2 linked regions of the Oryctolagus cuniculus genome follow. The protein of the gene in region 1 binds, or shares a complex with, the protein of each later gene. Links are inferred from orthologs where the notes say so. Each region holds a gene or a part of one and is shown in the gene's direction. Other genes may lie near its edges. The genes, in order: KCNJ4 and TAX1BP3.

Region 1 (14,059 bases):
GCAGCCGCGTGTCTGGGGCTCTTTGCAAGGCGTGGGCCACGCAGCAAGTGTCAGATCCAGCGCGCCGCCGGAGACAGGTGTCTTCCCGAGACCCCCAGCGCCGCTCTCCGCGCGGGCTGGCGGCTCCTGCCCAGCGCGGGAGCCTGGAGACGTGCGCAGAGCGCTCGGGCCCTGGCGGAGTTCCCACGGCAACCGCAAGCCACTCTCCGCGTCTCCCGAGTGACGAGGCGCGGGTGAAGACTCGGAGCCGGGATTCCTGGACTGGAGCCTCCCCGGAGCGAGGCTGGCGAGAGATCGCGCGGGCCGCGCGTGGACGGACCGCCTCGGCCGCCTGTGTCCTTGCGCTGGCTTTCGGAGGGCGTCTGGCGAGCGCGCTCCCCGCCCTGCCTGTGGCCACGCGCCGCCGTGCTTGCCTGGGGATTCAGGTGGTGGGATGGAGGCTTTGGCTGTTCCCCCCACCACAGGGCAAACCAGGGGCAAAGCCAGGCCCTGGCCGGGGTGGCCACGCGGGGCTGGAGGCTGGCACTGCCTGGGGTTCTGGTTCCAGCCCTATCAGTGACCCCTGTGTGTTCTTGACGTCCCCATCTCCTCTCTGGGCCTGGCCATCCCACAGTAGCTGTTCCCTGGTGGATGAAACAGGAGCGTAATAGCTACCTGTAAGCCTGCAGAGTGCCGGGCACACGTCATGGACCAGCACAGTCGCCCCCCTATTGCCGTCTTGCCCTCTACATCGTCCCAGCCCCAGGCAGCCTGGGTGGCAGCCGGGGTCTCAGAACTGCGTGCCCAGAGCTTGCAGCTCTGCCGGTGAGAGTCGGCGCCGCACCCCTTCCTGGGCGCCCTGGGTCTCAGACTTAGAGGGGCCCACAGGGGCCCAACCCCGCGTCCACCTGTCTGTCCACTTCCTCCCCATCCTCCACCCCACCCCCGCCATGCTGGGAGCATAGGAGTCCCCCGCTAAGTGAGGATGTCAGGCAGTCTCAGGACATGGCCCCCGACGGCCTCCATCAGGGTCCTGAGTTCCACATACTGGGCAAGGGTTTGGGACACCTGTGCCTCTATGGGCGTGTGTGTGTACAGGACTGGCGTGCACAGACCGGTGTGTGTGTGTGTGTGTGTGTGTGTGCGTGTGCGAGCGTGCTTGGGATGTGTAATGTAATATGTACATGTGGCTTTGTGCACCTGGCGCAGATGTGTCTGCTGGTGTGTGTGCACACTAGGCGGGCACGTGCGGGGCTGTACCGCAGCGTGCACAGGTGCAGGTGTGTAACTGAAGATTGCAGTGGCGCGCGCGGGGGGTGCACTGAGGGTCTCCCCTCATCTGGCCCAGGTGACAGACATGCCCAGGTCAGCCCCTGCCCGTGCCTCGGCCCTGTGGCTGCCCACATCTTGGGTGGGGGAGCCTGGGGCAAGGCTCCTGTGCCACCCCCCCTTTCCCACACAGCAGGAGCATCAGCAGGAAAGGTTGGTGGAGGGGGCTATTTTGGGAGCGTCTCCTTAGCAACAGCTGCCGCGGCCGTCTGTGGCAGTTTTTCTATAGGTGCTAAAATATTCCACCCTGGTGACTACTGAGTGCTGAGGGGTGGGCGAGGGTGGGGGTGGGGGGTGGGAGCGACCCCTAGGTCGGTCCTCCAGCCCCAGCGAGCAGCCCACGGGCTGAGTCCTGGCTCCTGGACCCCCAGTGGCCCCGTCCCCACCTCTCGACCTCAGTTGCAGACCCGTGGGGCCGCGGGAGCTCCGAGGCAAGCCAGCTGCGCCCTGGTCGGATTTCTGATCCAAGCAGCTGAGGGCCTCTGCAGAGCCGGCTGGGCGGCACCTCGGGGGAGAAACCTCTGGACTTTGTGACGGCCGCTCCAAGCGCCCGTCCCTCCCCTCCCCGGCTGCCCCCTCCCTCCACTCCCCGCAGCCCGCTGGCTGCACAGCCCAGTGGGACTCAGGAGGCCGGAGCAGACTCCCAGACTGAGCTGGTCAGCAGGTGCTCGGCCAGCCGGGAACCTTTCCCTGGAAACCAGGAACGCACCCGGTGCGAATCCCGACACAGACACTTGCTTCCTGCCTGCGTGAGCCCCAGCAAACACGCCCTCTGTGTGCCAGCTCAGTGTCCTCACCCATGCAGTGTGGTTGCTCCAGCCTCTGCTCACAGAGTGGCCGCGAGGACTGACGGGAGGCGGCAAACATCCAGAGGGAGGAAGCCTCTGCAGCATCTCACTGAGCCTCCGAGCCCGGAGCGCTCTTCAGAGAGCTGTCCGGGGCCGCCCAGGTGACACCGCTCACAACAAGGCTACCTGTGCCTCAGTTTCCCCATTTGGTAACAAGGGTCTGTGTCACAGAGCCCCTGTAATGGATTCAGTGAGGGGTGGCACTGTGCACTGTGGCGTAGGGGGTAAAGCTGCTGCCTGCAGTGCCGGCATCCCATATGAGTGTTGGTTCGAGTCCCGGCTGCTCCTCTTCCGATCCAGCTCCCTGCTGTGGCCTGGGAAAGCAGTAGAAGACGGCCCAAGTCCTCGGGCCCCTGCACCCACATGGGAGACCCGGAGGAAGCTCCTGGCTCCTGATTGGCACAGCTCTGGCCATTGCAGCCATTTGGGGAGTGAACCAGCGGCTAGAAGACCTTTCTTTCTCTCTGTCTCTCTGTCTGTAACTCTGCCTTTCAAATAAATAAGTAAATCTTTTTAAAGAAGTGTATACACTTTCACCTATATTTTTAAAAAAAAAGATTCCGTGAAGCAGTGGCTGCGAGGGTCTCAGATAGAGCTGGGCTCACAGCTCGCGTCCACTGGAGGCTGGCCCGCCTCTCTCCGCCCAGGGGTGACCCTGTGCTGGGTGATGACAAAGTTTCCTTGCCCTATGCGTGTGCACCCCAGACTGTCCCCTTACAGCTGAGGCCTCTGACATACAGAGAGGAGTAGCGACTTGCCCAGGGTCACAGGGCTCCCTCCCTCCTTCCCTCCCTCCCTCCCTCTCTGTCTGTCTGTCTCTCTCTCTCTCACACACACACACACGGGCATCTGCACCCCTGTTTCACGCCATCCATTCTCACCACCTCCTGCCTCGCACAGGTTGGAGGCCACTCACTCATCAGATGGACAATGGCAAAGTCTCCCTTTCATCTTTCCCCACTCTCAGATCAGCCACTCCTTCCCAGGTTACACACGGGGAAACTGAGGCCAGGTCACAGAGGGCTCCGTGGTGGAGGAGGGACCTCCCCTGGGGTCCCTGAGCCCCCTCCTGCCTGCAGCTGCCTGTCCCCACCTCCTCCCAGTCCATGGCCACAGGACTGAGCAGCTGCCCCCAGGGTAGCCAGCAAGGTGAGCATCCCTCCGCCCAGCCCCGACTCCTGCCCAGTGACCAAGCAGCGGAGGACTGAGCCCGTGAGACAACGCCCTGTTCCACTCTCCCCCTCCTCCACAGGTCATCTGCCTCGGCGCATCGGCCTGCCCGCAAACCACGGGAAGGTGTGCTAGGAGCGCACGTCAGGTTGCTGGAGCCCCCCTCCCATCTGCTCACCCAGGAGCAGCATGATGTGGCAGCATCAGGCCCCCCTGGTGTCTGCCTGTGACAGGCGCGGGACCAGAGGAGCCCTGTGGACGCCTGCGCGGAGAAGGGACAGCACGTTTGCTAAGCACTTACTATGAGCTGCACATTAACCTGCCTCTGCAGGAGGGGGAGGGGAGGGCCCCCATTTTGCAGACAGGTCCAGTCAAGTCTCTCTCAAGGTCACGCAGAGGTCCTTTGGAGCCCAGGCTGGCCTGTCTGCTAAGCTCACCAAGCCAGAGCCATGCCCATGCCCAGCCTGGGGCCTGGCACGCAGTGAATGACCTCTCTGAGGGCATCGGGAGGGCCTCTCTGGGAAGGGGCACGGGGCTGGGCTTGGAGAAGAGCAGGGGTTCTCAGGGGAAGGCGGTGGGGGTCCCTGCGCGTGTGGGCCCCTGGCTCTGGGAGCTGTGGGGACCAGGGTGTCCGTGTGGGCATGCAGCCGGCAGGGCTTGGGGCTGGGTCCTCTGGGGTGGGGGAAGGGAAAGGTCACGACCCTGGTGCTCCGTGTGACCTGTGCTGGACTCCCCCCTGGGCTTCAGCTTGGAGTAGAAGCCAGACTGCATTTCAGAGCCAGCCAGCTCTCCGCTAGCCACCCCAGTCTCCCTGTCTGCTCTGGGGCGCCAGGGCGGCTCTCCTGGCTGTCTACCCCCAGGGGTCCTCTCTCTGCCACCCTGGGGGGAGCAGGACTCTGGCCCGGCTCCTGAAAGGAGCGGCTGGAGGGTCCCCGGAGTGCCTGGGGAGCCGGACCGGCTCGCTGGCAGTGGGGCCGGGTGGCAGGGTGTGGACCCTCCTTTACGAAGACCGCTGAGTAAGACGGGTTTGGGGGGACCGCAGACGACACGGGCCTGGCGTTTGGCCACGTCTGGGTGACCTTGGGAGCTCTGACCCGCTGGTTGTCACTCTCCCGGCCCTGGCGCTGCCGAGACGGTGGTGAGGGTCCCTCCAGGAGGGCTGCCCGACCTCCCAGAGGAGGTGCGCAGGGCTCCTCACTGTCCGGTCTTTGGGACGGAACGGGGAGCGCCAAGAGGAGGGGGCCGGGCCCACGGGACTCCAGACTGGCCGGCTCCCACCCACCCGCTCCAGGCTCGGAGGAACCCTCCCCACCTGCCCCTGGGGGGGCTACAAAACCCGGGAGCGGATTCTCGGAGCGGCTTCTGGGAGGAGCGCTCCCGGGGCGAGGAGGAAAACCCGCGCAGGATCTCGGGCAGGAGCGGGGCACGCAGCCCCCCAGCCCCTGCCCCCGGCCGGCGCCGCAGGCCCCGCGGGAGCGGGTTGCATGCCCGCGTAGACTGAGCGAGCCGGGCCGGGTCGGGCCCCGCGGGCCGCCGGGGCTCCGGGCCGGGCGCGTGGCCTCCGCAGCGGGGCGCGGGTCACGTGTGAGGAGGGGCGAAAGTCTCGCAAAGCGGGCGGCAGGCGGCGAGTTGGGAGTTCTCGGCGCGCCGCGGGCCGGGAGCTCGGGCTCCAGGAGAGCCGGGGACGCGGCGGCGGAGCGGGGCGGGGGAGAGCGCCGGGCGCGGGGCGCGGAGGGGACGCTGGAGACGCGCGGGGGAGACAGGCGCGGCAGAGGCGGGGGCGCGGGGGAGACGGAGACCCGGACCTCGCGGGCAGAGCGCGGGAGGCGGGCGGCGCCGCGAGAGGGCAGAGACCCCCGCGCAGCCGGAGCGAAGCCGGGAGCAGCAGCGGCAGGGGGCGGCCGAGCCCGCGGCGGGAGCGGGAGGGTGACCCCAGGCCGGCGGCGGAGCGGGCAGCGCGCGCCAGCGGGACCCGGTGACCGACAGAGCTCTCGGCGGGGGCGGCCGAGGCGCGGCGGCGGGGCCGGGCGCCCCCGGAGCCCCGCGCTTTGAGCCCGCACCCGGGGCCGGATGATGCTGACGCCCCGGCTGCGCCGAGGGCGCGGCGCGGGGCAGCGCTGAAAGTTGGGTGGCCCGCGGGGAGCGGCGCAGGACGGCGCGGAGGTCCCGAGACCCACGCACGGACCGACCGCAGCCGGGGAGGGCGCGGGCCGGTCGGCCGCGTCCGCGGGGAGCCGCGCCGGGACTCCCCGCTGCCCGCGCGGACGCCGTGGGATGTAGCGCCCGCTCACCGCCGCCCGGACACCGTCGGACCCTCAACCCCGGGGTAAGCCGGGCGCGCGCCCTCCGCGGCCGCTGTCCGTCCGTCTGTCCTGCCGCGTGCGTGTCTGTCTGTCCCAGCCCGGCCGCTCTGGCCCCCACGGCTCTTCAACTTGTCCCTGACCTGGGTCCCGGCGCGCGTTTGGCGCGGTCCCGTGACTTCCCAGGAGCTAGCGGGCTGTCCGCGTGTCCGTCGAGAGCGTGGCGGTCTGGGTGGCGGCTGGGGAGGTGACTGGAGGAGACCCTGACCTCCTGGCCGGCCAGTGACCCTTTCCCGCCTCCGCCCACCCCCACCTCCCCAACCCCCACTGTCAGACCCAGAGCTTCAAGGCAGGTGACTGGGGCAAGGGGGTGGAGGTGGGGGTGTCTCCTTCCCACCTCCCCCCACCTGGCACGTTTGAGCACCTGCTGTGTGCCGGGCCACTCCAGGGCAGACGGGCAGGGACCCACAGTTCACAGGGTGGGAACCGAGGCTGGGCAGAGGGAGAAGTGGTGCTTCCGTCACGCAGGCAAGAGAGGTGTGAGACTCCCCCCACCTGCAGAACGGGCCCCCACCCACACTCCTGTGCCCTGCCCAGGCTGCAGGGCCCGGCGCCCAGGTTCAGTTCACCATGGAGGGCTTCCGGAGCAGTGGGTTGGCAGCAGCAGGTGGGGGGAACCCAGAGGGGCTGCAGCCGTTCGTGTGTGTGTGTGTGTGTGTGTGACATCCCCTCCTCCACACATACAGTCCGGTGCCCTCCAGGGCTCTAGGGTTTGGGGGCCTGAGGGGCCCCGGAGTCACATGGTGGCCCTGCCTGGCCTGCGCTGGCTGGAACAAATGGAAGAGGGGTGCGAGGGGCCCGAGCAGAGGCTGTCAGCCTGCCTGGGTGGATCCACATCCACGCTGGAGCCGGGAGGGCTGAGTCTGGAACATTCGACTCTGTTCCAAGGTGTGGGGGGGCCCTCTGTGGGGTTGTCTACACTGGGCAGAGAGCCTCATATACCCTGCATTCGGGTTCCTGAAGTGAGCTCAGCTGCTGAGATGGAGTGCCCTGGGCGAGCCACTTCCCTCCCTGACTCTCAACTTCCAAATCTGTGGAATGGGGTCATTGCTCCGCGCCCCACTGCCCTCCACTGGGGGGCGCTGGGCTGGGGAGTGGCTGGGCGGGTGGGAGTAAGGATTTTTTTCCTTTAGGGGCCGAGCAGCTCGTGGCCAGGGGCAGGGTGAAGGGACACTGCCCTAGGACAGGAGTGTCCAGGAATCAGAGGGACCTGTGGCTTGGGAGCCGTACCTCGTGGACCCTTGGGTTCCCCTTGAAAAGGGTCCTCTCCCGAGAAGGTGGAGCTGTCCGAGGTGACTCAGAGCTGGGTTAGGGTTTCTGCTGGCTGTCCTTGGGCAGCTGGCTTGACCTCTCTGAGCCTGGGGAACTGGACCTGGACGGACTTCGAGCTGCGCGCACGAGGCCGCAGGCTGGCAGCATCTTCGCGGATGTGTGCGGGAACTCTGGGCGAAGCAGCCCTGGGAGATGCTGCGAAAAGATTTCTGTGCTTTAGGCTAAGCGGGAGGGGGCAGGAGCCGTGTGGGCTCACAGGGCGGCTGCTTCTTAATGTGGATCTGGGGGAGGCGGGGGCGAGTGCCAAGGGGGGTGTGAGGAGGAGGGGCCCCTCTGCGGGGACTACTGAGTCACGAGGACAGGGACGCGACATGACAACCAGCAACATGGTAACCAGGAAACTAGCGGCGGTGGGAAACGGAGCCGGAGCGCGTGTTGGGGGGTGCGGGTGCGGGGCAGCGCTGGCTGGAGGGTCCCTGCAGCAGCCCGCCGGCTTCCCCCAGACAGGAAGGGAGGCCCGGAGACCCGGTGGGCCGGGGAGGAGCTGGGGGCCCGAGTGGAGGGAGGGGTCCGCAGGGCAGGGGGCTTCTCCTGCCTCCCAGGCTCCTCTTCTCCTCCACATCTCCGCTTTTCATGCCTCTCCCCCCCAGGATGCCAAATTTGGCTCACGCAATCTGTCGTCTCTCTTCTGAGATTGGCACCGGGACGAACGCCGAGCGCATTACATCACCGCTGCTCCCCTGCACGAGGGAGCGGGAGGCGAAGGGCCGGGGCCGGGGCCGGCGGCCAGCCCCCAACTTTCTCTCCCGTCTTCCTGTCTCCTCTTCCCACCTCCGCTGTAGGTGGTGGGATCTTGGGAGGCAGCTGGCTGCGGCGCAGGGCCCAGAGGCAGGACGAGGGGCGGGCAGTCAGGCCGTGGCGCTGCCCCCTGGCTGTGGTTGGTGGCCACCTCGGGCAGGGTCCACATCTGTGTAGAGAGCAGCCGGCCACGCCTGCAGTGCCCGCTCCCTGGGCGCAGAGGAGGCAGCCCTGGGTGTGAAACTGCTGTCCGTGACCTTGAGCAAGCCGCTGCACCTGCTTCTGCCTCAGGCTCCCCAGCGGTACAATGGGAACCCTAGAAGCCCTAGCGGCAACCCCCCCCCGCAGGGCAGGCGTGAAAGAGGGGACGGAACAGGCGGGGAGTAGGGGACAGACCCACAGGCACTGCAGGGGGCAGGGGAGACGGAGCAAAGGGGTCTTAACTGAGACAGGTGGCTTGGAGCTTCAGTCACTGGTGCCTCCCCGGCCAGGGTCACGGTGATGGTTTCAGGTGGAGGAAGCAGAGGCAGGCCTGAGTGCAGGAAGCGGACAGACAGCGCACCTGCTCCGAGGGAGGGACTCCTTTCAGGCTCACCTGAAGCCAGCCTCAGTCCCAGGCAGGGACAGGTTGCACTGGGGGTTAAGCTGGGTGGTTGTGGTTCATTCTAGAAAGTTCCCTGCACTGGAGGTAGAGAAAGATGGGGAGCCGCCGTGGCTGCTCTGGGAAAGAGGGGGCTGCTCGTTCCTGGAGCCGTGCCAGCAGGACCAGAGGCGCACCTGCCAGCCAGCCTGGTCAGCTGACGCCTGCTTCATGGGCAAGGCTGAATGACATTCCCACCTACAGGCTCCTGGGAGACTTTGATGTCCCCAAAGGAGGAGCTGGGACATAGCACCCACCACGCACCTGCTCCCCGGCCGGAACCCTCACGCTGTCCCACCAGGCACCGGGCCAGGAGGTTTTGCAAATTCTTTCATCGTCCCTGCAACACCCGCAGGGTTGATCTGAAATCCCCGAGTAGTTACAGACTCTTCCCAGGGTCACACAGCAAGGAAGCCGAGGGGTCCGGACCTGAGCTCAGATCCGCCTGGTTCTGGGGGAGGGGGCTGCCTCCGGGAAAGAGCGGGAGATGCTCCTCCCCCAGGCCTCGGTGTGGCCAAGAGGGTCTGCTCGCCCCCACAGCGCATCACCTGTGCAGGGATCCTCTGGGGGCTCCCACCCCACCCCCTGCTCTAAAGACAGAGCCACACGGGAGGGGAGAGCTCATTTTACAGATGGCAAGGCTGAGGCTCAAAGACAAGGCAAGTCCTGTCCCACGGTGCCCAGAGAGTCCTACTGGACGCGGCCCGGGGCGCCGTGCCCTGCACCACTGGGCAGTGACATCTTTGGGATGAGGGTGGGGCTTGGGGCACAGAGGGCTGAGGAGGGCCAGCTCCAGGCGAGGGCTGCCTGTGCGAACAGGCAGAGAAGCCGGCAGGGACAGCAGGTGTCACACACACACACACACACACACACACCCGCCCTGCTGAGGTCACAGGAAGCTGAGTGTGACACCTGCCTGCCAGGAGGGGGTCCTGAGTAGCCTTGAGTGCGGTTCCCCGGGTGACCCTGCGGCAGTCCCTCACCCTCTCCGCGCTTGGTCCGCCGTGGGACAGAGGAGCTGCCGAGGCGCCGTCCCACGCTCACGAGGCCCCTGGGCCCTGGCGAGGGGCGGGCGGGAAGCCTGGATGCTGGCGTAACCTTTAAGCCTCCTGGGCGGCCCCAGCGCTCCTTGGGGCGTGGGGGCAACTGCGGGCTCAGCCCTCCTTCTCTTTCTCATCTTTATTTTTCTGCTGCTCCCTCTCCCCTGGCTACGTGGGCCGATCTCTGCTCAAACTTTTAATTCAGATGGTAATTGGAATAATAATATGGGCTGAGTCCCCTCTGCTTGTGACGCCGCAGCTGGCGGAGCACGGCTATGAATAGACTTTGAGTCACACACGCGCGCTCCTGCAGGCGCGCACTCGGCGCTCACAGCCTGGTGGGCGGGGTGCAGCGTGGGGGCAGGGGCTCACGCTCCGCCTGGCTCTGGGTCTTGCTCCCCCAGCTGCTGGGGTGCCCTGGCCAGCACTGCCCTGTGTTGACCTGGAAGACGTGGGGTATCGGTGGTTCTCCTCGTCTGCAGAAGGGGAAACTGAGGCTCAGCAACGGGGGTGGGGGTGGGGTGCCGGCCCCACGGAACAGCTGGAAGGTGTCTGGACTCCATCTCCATGGGTGGGTTCTGCCTGGTGCCTTTGCAGGCTGTGGTGAGGAAAATAAACCGAGGCTCCCTGGGGAGCAAGAGTTGCCCAAAACCTCAGGGGAGGAAGCAGCCACATGCCCCCGTTGGACTGTGCACCCGGCCGCGGCCACGCCGGGAGCCCCGGGGGGCTCCTGTCTCTCCCTGTGACAGTTTACCTGCTCTCTGGCCAGTCCTCGGCCAGCGTGGTACCAGCATGTGGCTCCTGTGGCCTCGGTGGGCCTGAGAAGTGGGCTCTGGCGGATGGAGGAGAGTCCTCCATGGGTTCTCGGTGTTCCCACCCCCAACAGGAGCTGTGCGGGGAGAAGGTGGCGTTGTCATGGTGACCTGTCAGCCGGGAGCCGCGGTGGAGGCCTGCCCAGGTGGGCCGTGGCGGGGTGCAGTTGGACCTCTGTGTGTGGGGGGGCAGCTCAGGACTGGGACAAAGGAGAAAGCCCCCCAGCTTTCCCAGGGGCCCTGTGTGCTCTGCATCTGCATTTTCTAGTCCTTCTCCGGGCACTGTGGAGAGGCCACGGGGCTTTGCCCAAGGTCACAGTGATGGTGGCAGAGTGGGGGCTGGACCAAAGCCAAGGGCCACTCCCTCTGCTCCTCTCTCTCTAGGGCACCCCCTGTCTTTGGGGCTTGGAGGGGACCCCCAACTCCTGGGAAAACCCCAGGTTGCAGCCCCTTATCACAGCCAGAAGAGGAAGGTGCTCAGCCACTCACTGACCTGCGTGACCTTGACCAGGTCACGGTCCCCGCCCCCCCCCCAGCTCTCTTGGCCCCTCCCTGGCTTTTTCCTTCTGCTGCTCTGTCTGCGGCCACCCCAGCTCCCCCCAGGCCACAGGCGTGGAAGGGGACCCCAGCTTGGCCAGAGAGGAGGGGGACACGCCTGCTGTGGGAAGCTGATGCCATTCGGCTGGAGGGAGAGTGAGGCCCAGGGGAGGGGTCTGCTCAACCCCTCTGGGGCCACCCTGCCCCCTCCCCTGCCGCCCAGCCTCGAGGACAGACAGGACTGGACTCCGGGGCCGACCAGGGGAGGTGGCAGACACAGGCCGGAGGGGTGGCCAGTGTAGTCCCAGTCAAGGCCCATGGATGGGGGACAGAAGGACTGGGTTCGAGTCCAGCCCCACCGCTGAGCAGCTGTGTCACCTTGGCCAGGTTTTCCGCCTCGGCGAGCCTCCGAGCCCGAGCCGCGGGGGCAGCCTTGTGTCCCTGCGTCTGCAGCTTGCTGGGAGGACCCGGGAGTCTGCACGGGGGCCGGGGCTGCCGCCCTACTCAGTGGCCACCGAGTCCCAGCCCCCCACTCACCGGCCCTGACCCTCAGACACTGTGCCTCTGGACAGCTCCTGTGTCGGCGCGCGGCCTCCCCCGGCCCCAGGCCGTAGGGCAGGCGGGGCACCAGGCCAGGCTGTGCAGCTGCAGACCCCGAGGCCACCTGGCTTTCCAAAGAGCCTCTCGCTGTCTGGGCTCTGGGGCCGTCCCCCTGAGAGTAGGCGGCGAGTGAGCAGTGCAGGAGAGGGAACAGGTGGGTGGGGGTCCGTGCTGTCCTGGGTCCTTGAGGGGACAGGCCGGAGCACAGAAAGGAGCATGGCCAGCCAGCACGGGAGCTGCCAGCTGCGTGGACTGCACGGCACCGCCTCCCTCCTCACAAGCAGGCGGGCCGTCTGAGCAGGGGTGAGCTCCCTGTCCCGGGAGATATGTAAGCAGCTACTGAATGGCACCTGGTGGGGGACAGCAGAGGGTCTGACACGGGGCGTGGTGAGGCTCAGACGCAGAGTTCCCATTGCCTGGGCTGCAGTGTGGAGGTCCCACGCGGGGGGGGGGGCTCGCACCTGTTCCCAGCATCCCCCTTGGCCTCCAGCAATACCACCCGTGGGTGTGCTGCCAAAGGCCTGTGGCCTGCGCCTGAGCCGTCGCGGCTTCAAGACAAGCCCTGGGCCCCCCTTCGCCCCATTCTCGGGCCAATGCTTTTGAAGTCGCACTGAAAGTCGCCTCACTATGTAAGGTGGAAGGTGAAGTGGAGTTGGTGGTTCCACCACGTAAGCCAGTGTGAAGGCCCGCGCTTTTCTGGATGCTCCTGTGTCAGGGAGCACAGGACAGGGGACGCTGACCTGTGTGTGCCTGCACTCCGGGCCTGGGTAGCACCGAGAGAGGCCAGGTGACAGGGCGCCTTGTCCCCTCAGTGCCAGCTGCCTGGAACGGCAGTGTCTGCTCGGAGCTCCCAGCTCACCCGGCCCCTCCAGGTCAGCGACCCCAGCCCTGGGCCTTGAACCCAGCCGGACCCAGTTCCCGGCCCTGCCCTGCCCGTGTTCCCGCTCACGCTCGTCCCACGTCTCCCTGGGGACCCTCGCTTGGCGCCGTTGGCTCCCGTCCTCACGCTCACATGGGGGCTCGGGGAGTCCCTCTCCCTGGCACGTGGCAGGCGCTCAGCGAACGTTGCTTTGGCCAGCAGTTCCTCTGCGGCCGCGTGCTGTGGCGTGCCAGAGGGGCCGCTGTTCCAGCACAGGGTGCGTTAGGGACGAGGAATGAATGAATGAGTGAATGAATGAGGGACCTGGCTGGGTCTGGGAGTCTCTGGTCTGAGGAGCCAGCAGTGAGATGGTGAGAAATGGGCCCGCCTGGGGCGCCCTGCCCACACACAGCAGGCGTCCGTTAGTGAGAGTCCCTTAGGTGTGACCGAAAGAGCACTGGGGTGGCGGCCAGGCCGAGTGCTCCACAGGCAGCCCTGGCCCGGGTCCCATCTCTGCGGCCCAGCACCCGAGGTCCTTGGGCGCTTCCCGCTCCCCCGCCCAGGTGCTCTGTCCCATGCCCGAGGACTCCTCTGTCCCTGCCGAGAGGGGCTCCCTGACTGCAGCGTCTCCATGGTCACGCCGCGTCACAACCCCGGGCTCAGGTGCTGTGCCGTGCGTGAGTGCGTGAAGCGCTACGGGCTGGGCCCAGGGACGCGGGGAACAGCAGAGAACCCTTAAGGATGGCGTGAGTGGGATGGGTTTGGACCAAAAGTACTGGGAGGAAGATCAGGCGACTGGATGGAGCGGCCCTGGAATCGGGACCGCAGGGTAGGGGGCGTGAGTGCCAGAGGCTTGGAAGAGAGAATCCCAACCAGGAAGGAGCGGCCAGTGCAAAGGCCCAGGGGTAGGAGCTAGGCTTGGTGAGCCCAACGGACAGGAAGAAAGACCCCTGGGGAGTGCAGAGGGGGTGAGGTCAGAGAGCCAGGACCTCGCCCAGGGCTATGAGGCCAACCCCAGGCCATGGGGAGCCCTCGGCGGGGCTGGGCGGCAGCAGCTGTGGGTTGTCTGGGCAGTGATGGGGGGTAGTGATGGGGTTCTGCAGGTGTGGGGGTCCGGGCCCATGGTTCCCTGAGCCCCCTGCGGGGTGATACCAGCAGCCCCTGCCTCACAGAGGCTCAGAGGTGAGCCTGGTACCCGGCCCACAGTGCCCACCCAGCCTGGGCTAGTGGCTGTGGCCATTACAACCTGGGCTTGGAGAGGTTTATGGGTGGGTGCCCAGGCCTCCGCGCCTCCTGTTGGGGAGACAACCTGGGGCTGGGGGACGGAGGAGTGAGGATGGGGGTGCGGCTGCGCCTTGGCCGCGTGCGAGGTGTGTGGTGCCCCTGAGCCGACCCCTGGGGGCAGGAGTCTGCCTGTCGCTGGCTGGCTCAGGAGGGAGATCCGGCGGCGGTATTTTAAGCCGCAGGACTGGATGAGGTCACAGGGAGGGCTGCGGAGGAGAGAAGGGAGGTCGATGAGATGGCCGAGCCTGGGAGCTGCCGGGTGAGTGTGCGCAGAGGTGCGGCCGGAGGGGTGTGGGGCTGCGGCCCGAGCGAGCGGGGCGCCCTGGCTGGGGAGCTGGGGAGCGAGAAGGGGACCAGTTGAGGCCTCCAGCCGAGGCGGCCAGGCGGGCGGCGGGAGGCTGGGCGGTGTGGGGGAGCTGCGGGCCGCCCCCTCCAGACGGGCTCGTGTCTTCACGGCCGGCCACAGTGCGTGTGTCGCTCTCCACTTGATGCCTGTGACTCAGAGAGGTTAAGGCAGTTCCTCAAAGCCAC
Region 2 (14,382 bases), on another chromosome or scaffold:
TGTGTGTTCAATGCAGCAGCAGGCGGTAGATGGGAGGCCTGTGGGAGTCTGGTCATGCCCTTGGGAATGTCTCTGGGGGAGCTGGATCTGAACTGGGGCAGCCCCTCCACAAGCCGGGCCACAGGTGGATCTTGGCTGTGAGTGATGTCCTGAGCGGGGCCTTGCGGAGCTGCCAGAGGCGCGAGGGTGGCGGCCTGGGCTGCAGGGGGTGCACTCTGGCTGGCCCAGTTAACGGCTGCGACCTGCGCAGGGGACAAGAGCAGTCAGCCTTGGGGACTGAAGACCAGACAGCCGGGTTGGAGGAGCTGCCCAAGACGGGGCTGGAGAAACTGCCCCAGGCACCGCTGGGAAGCAGCTCTGACAGCGGCTTTAAGGGGAACGGCTGTGTGTGCCAGCAGCTGCTCGAGCCCGCCAGGTGAGGTCCTGCTGGGGTTCCCGCTGAGGCACCTGCTCCGGGGTGTCCAGGATCCGAGAGAGCCTCTCTGAGGGGAGGGCGTGCTGGTGGGGCTTATCCCGGCCCCCATGAGTGCCCCAAGCCCCCAGGCCAACTGTGCGTCCCAGGAACACAAATAAGCAAGTTCCTAGGGTGGGCACCGCCATTCCCTGTTTGACTCCTGGGAGCCCGAGGCATGGAAGTTAGGTGATCTGCACACGGCTACTACATACGATGCGGGTGCAGGGCCCTGGCGTCTCTGAAGTCCAGTTCCTCGGCCTGGTCAAGGCCCCCTGCCCCGCCCCTTTTCTGCAAGCAGATCTGGGGTGGCCCCAGCCGCAGCAGTTTGGCTGCCGTCCCTGGCACGCTGCTCAGCCTGGCCCTTCCTGCAGCTGTGACCCCAGCGCCGAGCCAGGAGCCCGCGTTCAGGCTGCTTTGCTTCAGCCTGGCTGCTGGGTTCTGGGTTTTGTTTGCCTGTTGTAACTCCCTTCCCAGTGGGGCTGGACACGTGGGGCCGCTCCTGCTACGTCAAGGCCCGGGTCTGTGTAAGCCATGTGCAGGGAGTTCACAGGCCTGAGCCGGCCTTGCTACTGGCCCCCAGCTTCCCTTCCAGCCTCGAGCTGGGAGCTGGGCCTGGGCAGGGGAGGGGTGAGAAACAGACTGGGGTGGAAAGTGGGCTACAGCAACGGGACACGGAGGCAGGGAGCCCGAGGGACCTGGATGGGGTGGGCCCTGAGCCCAGCTGCCCTCCAAGTGCTCCTCGAGCTGGCGGCCGCTTCCCGGGCGCCCACCTGAGCTCCTTACTGCGAGGGAGAGGATGGCGCCTGTGTGTTTCGGCCCAGCCTCAGCTGTTGCATGGGAGGCTCTGGCTGCTTGCACAGGTGCCCCCGCTCAGGGCTGGGCCCCTCCACAGGCCTCAGGCTGTCTCGGCGTGGGTGTGGGCTGCAGCCCAGCAGGACCCACAGCTCGCCCCTCCTCCGAATGCTCTGCCTGCCTGCAGGGTTACCGGTGGGAGGCTGACCCCGGCCACAGGGTACCTGATGGGGTCGTCTGCTCCCTGCGTGTCCCCCAGCTCCAGGCCTGGCTCCCCGGAGAGTGTGAACGTGGAGCTGCCGCAGAATCCGGAGGCAAAGCAGGCATAGCTGCGGCCGTTGGCCGGGAGTGGACTCGGTGAAGATGAGGACTTTGGGGCCAGAACCCTCACAGCTGTGAACTGGGGAGAGGACATCTTGGTGCCTCCGGGGAACCAGGCTGGCCGGCACAGCCACGTCTCTTGCACCACAAGTGTTCTGGAGGCCCCTCGCGGCCACGGTGACCGAGAGCTGGGAAGGGGCAGCCCTGGAGCAGACGCCCAGGGAAGGGGGCCGCCCGGGGCCCTGTGTGCCAGTGCACAGGCTTCCTCAGTCCTGGGACCCTGGCTGGACATTCAGTGGTGTGCACCTGCAGTGCGCCCTTGTTGACGCGTGATGTGCGCTGGACCCTATCCAAGGGACTCTTACATGAACCGCTGGCCTGGCCCCCAGGGAGGATGGCCCCTGGGGCTCCCGCCAGAGCCAGCAGGCATCCCGCCGCTCGCTGGTGGCTCAGAGAAAGGGGCATTTGGCTTCGCCCTCAGGGATACAAAGTGAAGGAGGCCCAGGAGGCAAGCAGGAGGGCCTGGACGTGCCTCTCTCTCGGGTAAGATGGGGAAGGGGAGGCTCTGGGCTGCCCCCAGGCTCTGTGCAAAGTGCGGATAAGCTCAAGGTGGCGCGCACTCAACAGGTGTGACCAGTTGATGGAGTGGGGGGTGGAGGCCCCACCTCCCCCTGCCCACTCTCAGCCTTTGCTGCCCTGAAGCCTAGTAGAGGTGCAGCACCCTGGGCCCCACCCTCGTCGTGCGAAATCAGTGCGGTGCTTCCACAAGTGCATCTTAGTGTCGGGGAAGCCTGGTTCTGCGGGGTGCACAGGGCAGCCTTGTGGTGGGGCCGGTTCTGGGCCAGACTGACACACCTGCTGCCTTGAGACCAATAGCATCCCTCCCTGCTCCCACCCGGAAGTGGCTTTATGCTGAATTTATTGAAATTAAAATATTTCGACCAGGTGGTTTTACTTACAATGATTCAAAATTTATTTTTAAATTTTTCTTTATTTTCATTTTAATTGAAAGACAGCATGCGTGAGAAAGCAAACTTCCATCTGCTGGTTTACTCCCCTGTCTGGGGCTAGGCCAGGCTGAAGGCAGGAACCCCAAATTCAACCCATGTCTTCCACGTGGGTAGCGGAGACCCGCGTACTTGAGCCATCACCTGCTGTCTCTTAGGGTGTGCATTAGCAGGGACCTGGAGCTGGGATTGGAACCCAGGCACTGCCATGTGGGATGCAGGCATCCCAAGTGGTGTCTTTTTTTTTTTTTTTTTGACAGGCAGAGTGGACAGTGAGAGCGAGAGACAAAGGTCTTCCTTTGCCATTGGTTCACCCTCCAATGGCCGCCACGGCTGGTGCACTGCGGCCGGCGCACTGCGCTGATCCAAAGGCAGGAGCCAGGTACTTCTCCTGGTCTCCCATGGGGTGCAGGGCCCTAGCACTTGGGCCATCCTCCACTGCACTCCCTGGCCACAGCAGAGAGCTGGCCTGGAAGAGGGGCAACCGGGACAGAATCCGGCGCCCCGACCGGGACTAGAACCTGGTGTGCCGGCGCCACAAGGTGGAGGATTAGCCTAGTGAGCCGCGGCGCCGGCCCCAAATGGTGTCTTAATGCTGTGCCAAACACACCGCCCCTGGTGATTCCACGTTGAAGGGTAGGAAAGCGCAGGCAATGAGGCATCCCCACCTGCTCTGCAGGGCTCCCCTGCGTGGCTGAGGCTCTCCTCGGTTAGCTGCGGGAAATCAAAGTTTCCAGATGGTTCCTGATGGCTACACCTGTCTGAAGCAGACATTGGGTAAGCTTCAGTATAGGGCATGGAGAGCTGGCTGGCCGGCTTCTCCCTTTGCCACGGTGTCTGAGGCTTCCCCGTGCAATCCCGAGTGAGGAAGCTGGAGCTTGTGTCTTGCTGCGGGCCCGGACGGGCTGACGGGCCAGGCAGAGAGCAGGGACTGCCCAGGCACTGGGTCTGAGCCACTTCTTGGCTAGTGGGGCCGTCCTTGTTGGCAACGGTGCTCTCAGTGCACAGAAGGGGCGGTGAGCATCCTTCCCCTGGGGCCTGGCAGAGAGGCGTGGTGCCCAGAGCAGAGTAGCCCCTTCCTAACCTTGGGGTGGCTGGGATCCTGTCCGTGAGCCCAACCTGCTGAGTACACAGTGAGAAATCTGGGTGACCCAGAGAGCAAACCCTTGGGTTTTATGGGCTAGCTTTGTTCATGTTTGGGAGGAAGTTCAAAGGGCAGGGGTCACGGCTGCCGAGGGACTGGTCTGCTTTCTCCTAACCTGGTTTCAGGAAGGCGTGGCAGCAGCCATTTAACCTGGAGATGGCTCTGGGTGGTCATTCGTTTGGTCAATCAGGATTTAGGACGTGTCTGTCCTGTGTCATGTGTGGACTCGTGTCAGCGCAAGCCTTACTCGGGTGGCCAACCCATCCTGCAGCCGGGATAGGGTGCTTTGTGTTCAGCCGGCAGTGCCCAGACGGGGCTTCCAGGTCGTGTAGAGGTTGAAGTCTGGAAGGTGACGGGCCATTCTAGTGAGGGGCTACCTGTGCGTGAAGGCGCTCTGACCCCGAGACGAGCAGCTGAGGAGCGGGGTGAAGGCACTCCGCTGCAGTAGGTTGTGTGAGACTTCCTTTTCAATGCTGGCTTTTTTTTTTTTTTTGATAGGCAGAGTGGACAGTGAGAGAGAGACAGAGAGAGAAAGGTCTTCCTTTGCCGTTGGTTCACCCTCCAATGGCCGCCGCTGCAGCCGGCGCACCGCGCTGATCCGATGGCAGGAGCCAGGATCCAGGTGCTTTTCCTGGTCTCCCATGGGGTGCAGGGCCCAAGCACCTGGGCCATCCTCCACTGCACTCCCTGGCCACAGCAGAGGGCTGGCCTGGAAGAGGGGCAACCGGGACAGAATCCGGCGCCCCGACCGGGACTAGAACCCGGTGTGCTGGCGCCGCAAGGTGGAGGATTAGCCTAGTGAGCCACGGCGCCGGCTAATGCTGGCTTTTTAATTTCTTTAGAAAGATTCATTTATTTGAAAGGCAGAGCAACAGGAAGAGGGAGAGGGAGAGAATGTTCCATCCACCGGTTTGTTCCACAGATGGCCTCAGCAGCTGGGGCTGGGCCAGGCCAAAGCCAGGAGCCCAGAACCCCATCTGGGGTGTTCTGCTGCCTGCCCAGGTGCATTAGCAGAGTGGACTGAAAGTGGAGCAGCTGGGACTGGAACTATCGCTCCAATATGGAACGGAGACACTCAGGCGTGGCTTAATGTGCTGCACCACAATGGCTGCCCCCAGGTTCAGCGTTCATTTGGCAAGGGTTGCCCCGGAAACCTACTGCCTTGGAGGACTTATTCAACCTCATTGTTTCCTCAAGGCCAGCCCAGCCTTCCAGGCGGCCTCTACTGCGTGTCCAGGGCCCCTGGCTCTGAGATGCTTGCGGCCCTGTCCCAGCCCACGGGCAGTGCTGCACTGTGCCCGCGTCTCACCTTTCCCCTGCACAATCTCACTGATCTACAGACTGGCCGCTAGGGGGCAGACGTGAGGCAGGAGCGGCATTGCTCAAGCCCTGTTCACTCTGGGCCCACACTGCTTCCCGGGAGGGCGAGAGCTCCCGCCCCTCAGGAGCTCCTCCCGCATCTGTGTATCGCCTGAGTGTCACGCTTGAGCCCAGCCTACGCCTGCCCACCTGGTATTTTCCTAGAGATTGAGAAATGCCTTTGGGCGCACCCTGGCTGGTGGGAGACTTGTACACTGGGTGGGCTCCGTATGACATGACGGGGACCCAGCTGAGAGAGAGCCAAGTGCCCTGGCCCTGATGCTGGGGTCTTCCTCCTTCCTCCGCGGGAACAGCTGTGAAGGGGGAGCAAGATCTCTGGGTGTCAGAGCAGCCAGCCAGTGCTCCCACATCGCGCCACGTGGAAAGGCGTCTTCAACGTCTGGGAGGGCTCCTTCTGGTCTAAGCCACCCCCTCCCTAGAGCTGCAGCTCCCCTCAGGGCAGTCACCTGGGGCCCCAGGAACACCTGTTCTCCCCTTTCTGCCTGCTGTCCCCCGAGGCCAGGGAAGGCGGCAGAGACCGTGGGGGGCGTCCAAGATGTGCATTCTCGGATACTTTCATGTAATTCTAAAACAATAAATAAAAGATGTCCATTTTAAACCTGGCCTGATTTTAGAAGAAGAGACTGAAAGAGGCAGACCCAACAGTGAGTAAGCACTGTAGCATGTTCCTCATTATCTGGCAGAGAAATTCAAACTCAAGCGTGGAAACCCTTGAAATGGGCCTATGTTATGCGTGAAGACTGGGAAGGCACGGGTCAAACTGACACTTTTCAATCAACGAGTAGAAGCTGGTGACTCCGGAACCCAGCTTTTAGCCTGTGCCCGGGCGGCCTGTTAAATCCCCTCAAAATGCTGCGAACCGGAAGGCACTCAGTGCCCAACAGGGCAGGGTCTGCTCAAGGCCAGGCTTCCTGCCGCCTCTGCCTCAGGACTGGCTCTCCCTCCCCCTCCAACGCCTGGAGAGAGGGGCAGGCGGGCAGACCTGAACCGGGCGCTTCAGGGGTGGACGGAGGAGCAGCTCCTTGGCTTTGTGCCGAGCCTTTGGCCTGGGGCCCGGACGGAATTCAGGCCGGGTCCCAGATCCCCTTCCATGGTCGGCCGGGGCCACCTAGGCTCAGTAAATGAAACGGGCGCTTGGGTCCAGGCTCTTGAATTCCTGTCCCATCTAATGATGAGACAGCCCCTCCCCTCCAGGCTGCAGACGCAGCGGTGTCTGCTGCCGCGGTCCTGGGCCTCCACGTCCCCCTGGGCTGGGCCAGGGCCCTACCACTCTCTCCTGATACCACTCACCACAGAGAGTATTGCTCTCCCCAGGCAGACTATCAATTCTTGCAGCAACCTGTTCATTACTGCGACTCTGGAGCAGTATTTACTTCTCGATTAGGCACTCGCACTTAAGATAACCCTCCTGAAAAGAAAGGTGATGGATTAACACAGGCAGAGGTATCCCCATGTTAAAACACCCAGTTTAGCTTGGATTTGCTTTTTCTTATGGGAAAGGCAGCACAGTGTCGCCAGGTGAAAGGGATCTGAAGTGACACAGTTCTCCCTCCAGGCACACTCGGCCAACGAGAGCAAGTTACGAGACCAAGGCCTGACACCTGGCCCTGGGCCTTCCCAGCGAGCAGCATTTCTGGTCCTCACTGAGCCCCAGCCACAGCAGCCCCTTAGTGAGGCAGTAGACTGCCAGGAGCAAGGGGGCTAGAGGCCGGCGCTGTGGGTTAAAGCCCCGGCCTGCAGCGCCAGCATCCCCTGTGGGCGCCGGTTCCAGTCCCGGCTGCCCGACTTCCAACCCAGGTCCCTGGGAAAGCAGCATGCACCCGGAGACCCAGAAGAGGCTCCAGGTCAGCTCCAGCTGCTGCGTCCATAAAAGGGAGTGATAAATAGTGGATGGAAGATCTTTCTCTCTCTCCCTCCCCCTCCCCTCACTTCCCTCCCTCTCCCCCCTCTTCCCTCCCTGTAACAAATTAAAAAAATAAACAGAATCGAGTGAGATCAAAGCCCACCCAGCACTACCATGCCGTCTATAGCTCCTAGACGCTACCCCAAGCTGGCCAGGTTAGCGCCCAGTCCCCAGCCCCCACCTGTTCGGCTTCCGCACCCAGCCCGTGCGCTAGAGGAGGAGAGAGGGTCCAACAAAGCGTCTCACACTTCATTTAATCTGAAAACATTACGGGCTCGTCGTCCTCAGAGATAAGTTATGTATAACGTTACAGAACAAGCAGCGAACTCAACACTTTGAAAACCTCGGCGAGTCTACGCGGAGCGCCGCCGACCGGGTCCCGCCCTCGCTCAGTAGACGTGCACCATGCCGTAGAGGAAGGTCCAGAAGAGGACGTAGGTGAAGAGGCCTCCGATGAGGCCGCCCGTGAAGAGCGGCCGCCGCGACTTGAAGTACTTGTTCCACCGCCTGCCCGCCTTGAGGATCAGGAGCAGGGAGAGCAGGACGGAGGCGAGCAGGTAGAAGATGAAGCCGTAGAGGCCGGTGAGGCCGAGGATGCCGGCCGTGGCCCCCGACAGCGCCGACACCGAGGTCCGGCAGTAGTCCAGCACGGCCGCGTTGCCCCGCACGGCTGCCTCGCTGATGAACGGCGGCCCTTCCCTCTTGCCCACCACCGCGGCCATCGCACCCGCCGGGGCTCGGCCTGGGCTCTCTCGCGGAACGAGGCGCGGCTGTGGGGAAAACCGAGTTACAAGTGGCGCCCGGAGCGCGGCGAGTAGGGTCCATGGCCTCCCCCTCCCCCTGGGGCTTCCGAGACCTGGCGCTAGTCCTGGATCTCCGTCTCCCCAAAGACGCCGAGGACGCTGACGGCTCTTGCCGGCCGGGAGAACGGGGACACGCCTGTGTCCCCTAGCCAGGAGAGCCCCGTTACCTGGAACACGGCGGGCGGATAGTCCCAGCGTTCCCTCACACAGGAAGCAGGACAGACCCCCGGGACGCCATCTTGTGCTGGAGGATGCTGGGAGGGCCCGTTACGCATGCGCGCTGGCTCAACTACGCCTCTCGCGCCTGCGCGCCGGGCACGCTCCACCCTCTCCCCGCTTTTCTACGCACGCTCCGGGACTTCCGAAAGCCGAACAGCGCTCCGGCCGGTGATTGGCTGGAGATCTGTTAACTATTCATAAGGGGGCGTGCCCAGCCAGGGTGCCTTTGTTAACCAGGGAGGGAGCGGCCGCGGCAATCCCAGCTGCGGGCTTCGCTGAGCGGTCCCCGGTTACCAGATTGGGATCGAGATGTCCTACATCCCGGGCCAGCCGGTCACTGCGGTGGTGGTGAGTGTACTCGCGCGGGCTCTTTTTCGTCTCGACTTGCCCCCATTTTTCAGAGCGGTAAACTGACACCCAGTCAGGTTGCAAAGCAGCGAACCGGGGCGGGGGCCCGTGCAAACCCGCTGTCAGGGCTCGGGTCTCTGCAGGAGCGCGGCCGCAGCCTCCTCCGGCCACGAAGCTCATTCTGGGGGCTAGGAGCCTCCCGAGGCTCCAGACGGAGGCCAGACTCCGCGCACCGTCGCCCAAGAGGCAGGCTGCTTTGGCCTGCCGGCGCGGGGAGCACGGGGGAGCAAGGCTCCGGATGCGGGCGTCTGGGAAAGCGCCCCTTCGCAGGGCTTCGGTGCCCCCAGCTGGGCAGCCGCGGGGGGCGGGCGCCGGCCCGACGTCCGTGAGTCGCAGCCTCTGGAATGAGGAAGTGCTTCCTCCGCTCCAGCCGGCGCCACCGCCCCGAGGAGCGAGATTTGGGGGTGGGGCTGGCCGGAGGGAGGCCCCTGCCCCATTGGAGTGAATGCGCACCCTACCAGCCAGATCCTTTTCTCAGCTGCTGGATCCCCAGCCCTTGGGGCCAGGGGCAGGTCTCCCGCCTGGCACTTTCGGCGCACCGTGTGCCAGGTGCTGTCAGAACAGGCGAAGGGAGAAAGGGAGCTGACACCCACACGTCTGTGTCCCAGCTGAGTAGGCCCTGGAGGCCACCCCCTCCCCCTCCCGCAGAGTCCCAGAAAGAAGTCCGGTTACGCCCAGCCATAAAGGAAGCCGCCAGGAAGGACCCAGGTCTCCTGCCCAGCTCCCCAGAGGTTTCCGCCTGTGAGAGGTCAAGCCAAAGTCCCAGCCCTGGAGCCGCAGGGACTGGCTGTGCTATCTCCCATGGGCTCCTGCAGCCAGGCAAAGAGGCTGCTGATAAAGGTGGCACGAGGGTGAACTTGGAGAAGGCCCTGCTTAGCTACTGACAGCCGTCCTGAGCCTCACCCTGCGGGCACCAGCTTAGCTCTGCAGAGCCCAACAGCTGCCCAGAGGCTAGGGGTCAGCTTTGCTTCTCAAGTGGAATAAAGGTGGTGCAAGGGAGGGGCCAGAGAGCACCCAGCGAGGCAGTGCCAGAGCCCTCCCACCTCAAGGGCTGTGCGCTTTTCTCCCTTGAGGGCATGTGCTGGAGGAGGTGGGATGGACCTGCAGGAGCCCTCTTTTGGGTACTGGACCCAGTGGGCCTCAGGGTTCATGCTTCCTCCTCCCCACCCCATGCCACAGGTGGGCCCAAGGTCTTCCTTCAGGCTGTAAGACTATGCCGCGCCCAGGTCTGCAGCACCAGGAGCCGCCTGGGTGGGCCTGGCCTCTCCCTGACCATCTGCCTCCTGGACACCTTCCCGGATGGCTCCTAGCACTCCAGCCCCACCTGCTCCTTCTCCTGGGTCCCCCCATTGGAATGTTGCCGTGTTCAGCATTCCTGTCCCCAGGCTTCCACCCCAGCCTCTGAGGCACCTGCTCTGACTGCCCAAGTAGTTGTTCTAGCCTCAAACTTGACCATGCCCTGTCCTACTCCCCAAGCCTGGTCAGCTCCCCTGGGTTCCAGGGTCAAGGCCAGGCAGCCAAACTCCTGATCATCCTCTCAAGTCCTGGTTCAAAATGATCCCTCCTTGGTGAAGCCTCCTCAGGGCCGAGCAAGTCACCTTCCCTCCCCCCCAGCTCCCAGCTTTGATCTGGTGTGGCTCCCAGCAGTGACTTGAGGGTGCCTGCTGAAGGCTCTGAGCACCCCAGCCCCAGAGCATGTTGGGAGAGCCCCAGAACACTTCTCTGCCACCTGCACTGTGCATGAGCAGGGCCCGGGGCTCCAGGAGACCCCTGACCTCATCTGGGACCAGTCTGGTGGTCCTGCATCCCAGACTTCTCTGTCTGGCACCAGCCCCATCTCACCTTGCAGGTGCCAGTGTCACAAACGTCCAGCATCTGCAGTCCTCTTCTGTCCCCGGCTGATCTGCTCCACTTTGTCCCAGCACCTCCTGCCTTGCTTGTGACAGGCTGGCTCCCAACGGCAGTGTCACCTTTTCAGGGCCTGGCCCTTCCCACCCCGTGTCCTAGGTGGAGCCCTGGCTCATAGGCCAGGAGGGGCTGTGAGCACTTGTGACTAAGACTGGCACCTGAGACTGGGAAGGGGGAAAGTGGAGGGCAGGACTGGGTGAGGGGGTCAGCCTCCAGGGCTGGGGACCAGCTGCATTCCTGTAGGGGACTCCGGGCCCCACCCCTTGGCACGGCTCGGAGCTGGCCTGGCACTACCAGAGGCCTTCTCTACATGCCCACCTAAGCCAGCTTCCTTTTTTGTTTGCCAGCAAAGAGTTGAAATTCACAAGCTGCGTCAAGGGGAGAACTTAATCCTGGGCTTCAGCATTGGAGGGGGCATTGACCAGGATCCCTCCCAGAACCCCTTCTCGGAGGACAAGACAGACAAGGTGAGGGGGACCGGAGGCCTGAGAGGGTGGGCACTGCTTCCTGGGCCTGTGTGGGAAGAGCAGACCCCATCTCAGAGGGTCCAGGAAATGATCGGCTGGGAAAGAGTAGGGGTGGAGGTCGGTCTGCCCAGCTGCCCAGGAGGAGCGGGAGGTGGCCCTCAGCCAGGGCTGGGGCATCCCTGGTTGCTTGGCATAGCCTTCACCAGCTGTGTGCCAGGGGAGGCTGGGGACAGGGACAGAGGGACAGCTATGGGTGTGCTATACTGGGCCTCCTCTGTGTATGAGAGCCAGTCCAGGGGCCACAGGGCCTGACCCAGGCTTCTCTTCCCAGGGCATTTATGTCACACGGGTGTCTGAAGGAGGCCCTGCTGAAATTGCTGGCCTGCAGATTGGAGACAAGATCATGCAGGTAACAGGTGTCCCAGAGGAGGAAAACATGGCTGGGGCTAGAGGGGTTGAAACACTTGTGGGTGGGGGCTGGGAGACACTCACCAAAGCCCTTTGGAGCCCATGCTGGTACTGCCCCGGAGGAAGCCGGCTCTCCTCTGTGTACTTCAGGGACGCTAGGTGGAGGGGTGACCCAGGCCTCTTAAAGCCCCCTGGCCTCTAGATGTCAGAGGGCAGTGGGCTGAGCTGGGCTGTTCTCTCCGTGGGCCAGGTGAACGGCTGGGACATGACCATGGTCACACACGACCAGGCCCGGAAGCGGCTCACCAAGCGGTCGGAGGAGGTGGTGCGCTTGCTGGTGACGCGGCAGTCGCTGCAGAAGGCCGTGCAGCAGTCCATGCTCTCCTAGCAGCCCGCCAGGCTCCCTGGCTCGTGCCTGTTTGTATAGCGACACCACTACCCACGCGCTATCTGTCCCACGTCCCGCCTGTGGCTGAATGCTGAGCCGCAGCTGATCCCAGAGGCCTGATCCCGCCTCCCTGTCACACTCCCGCCCCCAGCCCGAGGCCTCTGGGACCAGCTGGCTCCCTCGGAAACTGAGGGCTGGGAAGAAGGGTCTGGGGCCAAGTGGCTTCCAGGCTGCAGTGACCCTAGGCTCAGCCCCCAGACCCTGCTGCCTGCACAGCAGTGCCCCAGGGAAGCCGGAAAGACTTCCTGAGAGCCGCCAAAGCTGGGGAAGGCTGGTGGGGGGACGCCTTTCCCACCCTGCCCTGCCTCCCGTGTCACCTCCGCAGTGCCTGCGCCCCACACTTTCTCCGTGTTGTCCACTAGGGGCTGGACCCATGCTGCCAGAGGCACTGGGAAGGCCTGCCCCAGGGGAGGCAGGCAGGCCCCTTGTTCACCCCACTTCCCAGGGGTGGCCTCCCTGGGGCCTGCCTGCCTGCAGGATTTAGCAGAGCTCTGAGGCGGACATCTCAGGATTGCCACTGTCCTCCACGCCTGTGGGTTTAACTTTTGTATTTTTTTAGTCCAACTTTGATACAAAGCCTTTTTATTGTACTGTTTGGAGATGCCCACTCTGCTCTGTAATTTAGCTTACTAATTCACATCCAGGGCAGCTCCTAGCAAGTGGACAGGCCTCACTCTGGTTACCATGGAAACGGGGCTGGAGGCCACTGTTCCACCTCTGACATCTGCCCAATAAACAACGCTGGAATCCATGAGAGCTCTTTGCCAGGGCTGGGGGCGTGGTGTGTGCGGGTGGCTCAGGGCGAGCACAGGGTGGCTGGCTTGTCCCTGGCTGCTCTGAGGCAAGAAGACAAGGCCCGACCATTCCCAGGTCCTCTTGCCAGGGAAGCCGAGCTGGTGGGACCTTGGAGCTTCAGTGGGAACCGCTGTAGCAGGCAAGGACCACATCTGGATGCACCTGCACTGGAACTGGGGTGGGGGCCGGGACTGGCCCCTGAATGCCTGAAACCCGCCTGTGTAATTCAGTTTCAGCTCCCACCTGGGCTGCACCTCGTACACCCAGGGGGTCTTGGGAAACATGCCCCAGCCAGGACACAACCCCAGATGTCACCAGGGGCTGAGGTCTGGCCAGTTGGGTCCAAGCAGAGTACCCAGCCCCCTGCCTACCAGCCCTGGGAAGTTGTGGCCATTCCTGGATCCGTCTCGCACTGCCAGGTGTGATTCTTAAAGGAGAGTCAAGATTCTGAGATCTTTTAAAGCGTATACAGACATGGCAGGCTGGCTGTCATCTTCGGCATGTGTTACAGCTGGACAAGGATCTGCAGAGCAAGGCCTCCACTGCTGGGCTCCCAGGGGCAGCACGCCCTCCATACCTCACCCGCCCCTGCTTACACCCATAGCACAAGCAGCAGGCCGTGGTACCTGTGAGACCTACCTGGCCCTGGGTGTGCAGGCGTCTTGCACTGCCCAAGAGGGCTCCATGATGAATGATGTGCAGGGTCAGCACTCGGCCATGTTGGGTCAGCAAACTTCACAGCCCTATGCGTTGCCTTACACGAGGCAAACAGGGCGTCTCCCTAAGCCCCAAGGACTTGGCCCTGCAGGTCCCACACCTGCCTTGGAAACTCATGAGTGCTTAGAGTGCGCAGAAAACAAACAGGTCAGGTTTAATCGAGGGCATGGGCCCCTCACAGGGATTTTGTAGTAAAAAGAGTGGATTGACAAGCTCAAGGCACCTCCTGGGACCCTCCCCCCTCCATTCCACCCACCACAAAGATCAGCTTGGCTGGGAAGGGAGGGGCTGTGCCAGGGGTAGGCCCGTGGAGACTGAGTGACTTGGGCTCAAGTTCTAACTGAAGGCTCCTGAACAGCACAAAAGGGGTCTCAGGTAGGGTCTGGGGGATATGAGGGCAGGGGGCCTTCCCCTCACTCCAGGAGTGCTACTCAGGTAGGTCTGACAGGTCCTAAGGCACAGACTGGCGGAGACAGGGGCAGTAAGGCATGCGCCCATGGGGCCCCCGGGCTCGGGGAAAGTAGAGGTAGGAGAGAGGGCGGAACCAAGTCAGCCACTTGTGAAACCTCCCTCGCCCAGGGCTGGAAGGAGTTAGTGTGATAGGCTCACTGTGGGGTAGACGGCCAGAGGATGCTGGCCTGAGTCCAGTTCTGAGCCAACCCATGGGCAGCTCGGGGCTGGGAAATACTCTATCAGGCCCTGGCCCGAGCCACTGCTGCTGCAGTGGAGGGAGCCGAGTTAGGCAGAAACAGTGTCAGGAAAAGTGACCTTCAGCCCGAGCAGCCCAAGGCCTAACCCCGAAGTCCTGGCCCCTCCGCCACCAGCACCAGCACCTCAGTCCGTCGGCCACAGCATCTGACCACTGGGTCTCTGAGAACAGCGGTGGCAGCAAGGCACCCTTGGCTGTGCCGGCTGTAAGGCCAGCCCTTCACGCTGCTCCCAGAAACAATGGCTGTTTGGGGCAAGGCCTCCACTGCAAGCTCAGCGCCCAGTCGTGCCTGAGATGGCTGCCAGACCTGTGGGTGCTGCCTGAAGCCTTAAAGAAAACAGAGATGGTGGCATCAAGATGCAGGAGGGCCAGCAGCATGGCCAGGGAGGCCTGCGGAAGGCTGGAGACCTCCGGGGAGGCTGGCAAGGACCGCCTGAGGGCTGGCTGTTGATCTCTGACCAGAGTCTGGCGTCTGTCTGTCCCCGAGGGAGGGCCTGGA

The links.
Region 2: the proteins of KCNJ4 (region 1) and TAX1BP3 are in contact, whole or in part, in a crystal structure (PDB 3GJ9), measured with the Homo sapiens proteins. The link is inferred for Oryctolagus cuniculus from reciprocal best matches to the Homo sapiens genes KCNJ4 and TAX1BP3. Residues at the interface, in NP_004972.1 of Homo sapiens: Arg440, Arg441, Glu442, Ser443, Ala444, Ile445; in NP_055419.1 of Homo sapiens: Leu27, Ile28, Leu29, Gly30, Phe31, Ser32, Ile33, Gly34, Gly35, Asp38, Gln39, Gln43, Asn44, Thr58, Arg59, His90, Asp91, Arg94, Leu97, Thr98.

Annotation. Positions count from the first base shown.
Region 1 is NC_091442.1:115,102,002-115,116,060, reverse strand, and holds the start of KCNJ4 (inward rectifier potassium channel 4), read left to right. Parts: upstream 1-4,716; 5' UTR 4,717-5,652; intron 5,653-14,059. UniProt on the Homo sapiens protein: Inward rectifier potassium channels are characterized by a greater tendency to allow potassium to flow into the cell rather than out of it.
Region 2 is NC_091448.1:48,981,544-48,995,925, reverse strand, and holds TAX1BP3 (tax1-binding protein 3), read left to right. Parts: upstream 1-8,117; 5' UTR 8,118-8,332; coding exon 8,333-8,371; intron 8,372-10,273; exon of another isoform or gene 10,274-10,446; intron 10,447-10,686; coding exon 10,687-10,806; intron 10,807-11,137; coding exon 11,138-11,215; intron 11,216-11,298; exon of another isoform or gene 11,299-11,464; coding exon 11,465-11,602; 3' UTR 11,603-12,413; downstream 12,414-14,382. Other genes in the region: P2RX5 (P2X purinoceptor 5), read left to right, coding at 251-415, 1,434-1,575; EMC6 (ER membrane protein complex subunit 6), read right to left, coding at 7,391-7,771, 7,972-8,079; CTNS (cystinosin), read right to left, coding at 14,156-14,210. UniProt on the Homo sapiens protein: May regulate a number of protein-protein interactions by competing for PDZ domain binding sites. Binds CTNNB1 and may thereby act as an inhibitor of the Wnt signaling pathway. Competes with LIN7A for KCNJ4 binding, and thereby promotes KCNJ4 internalization.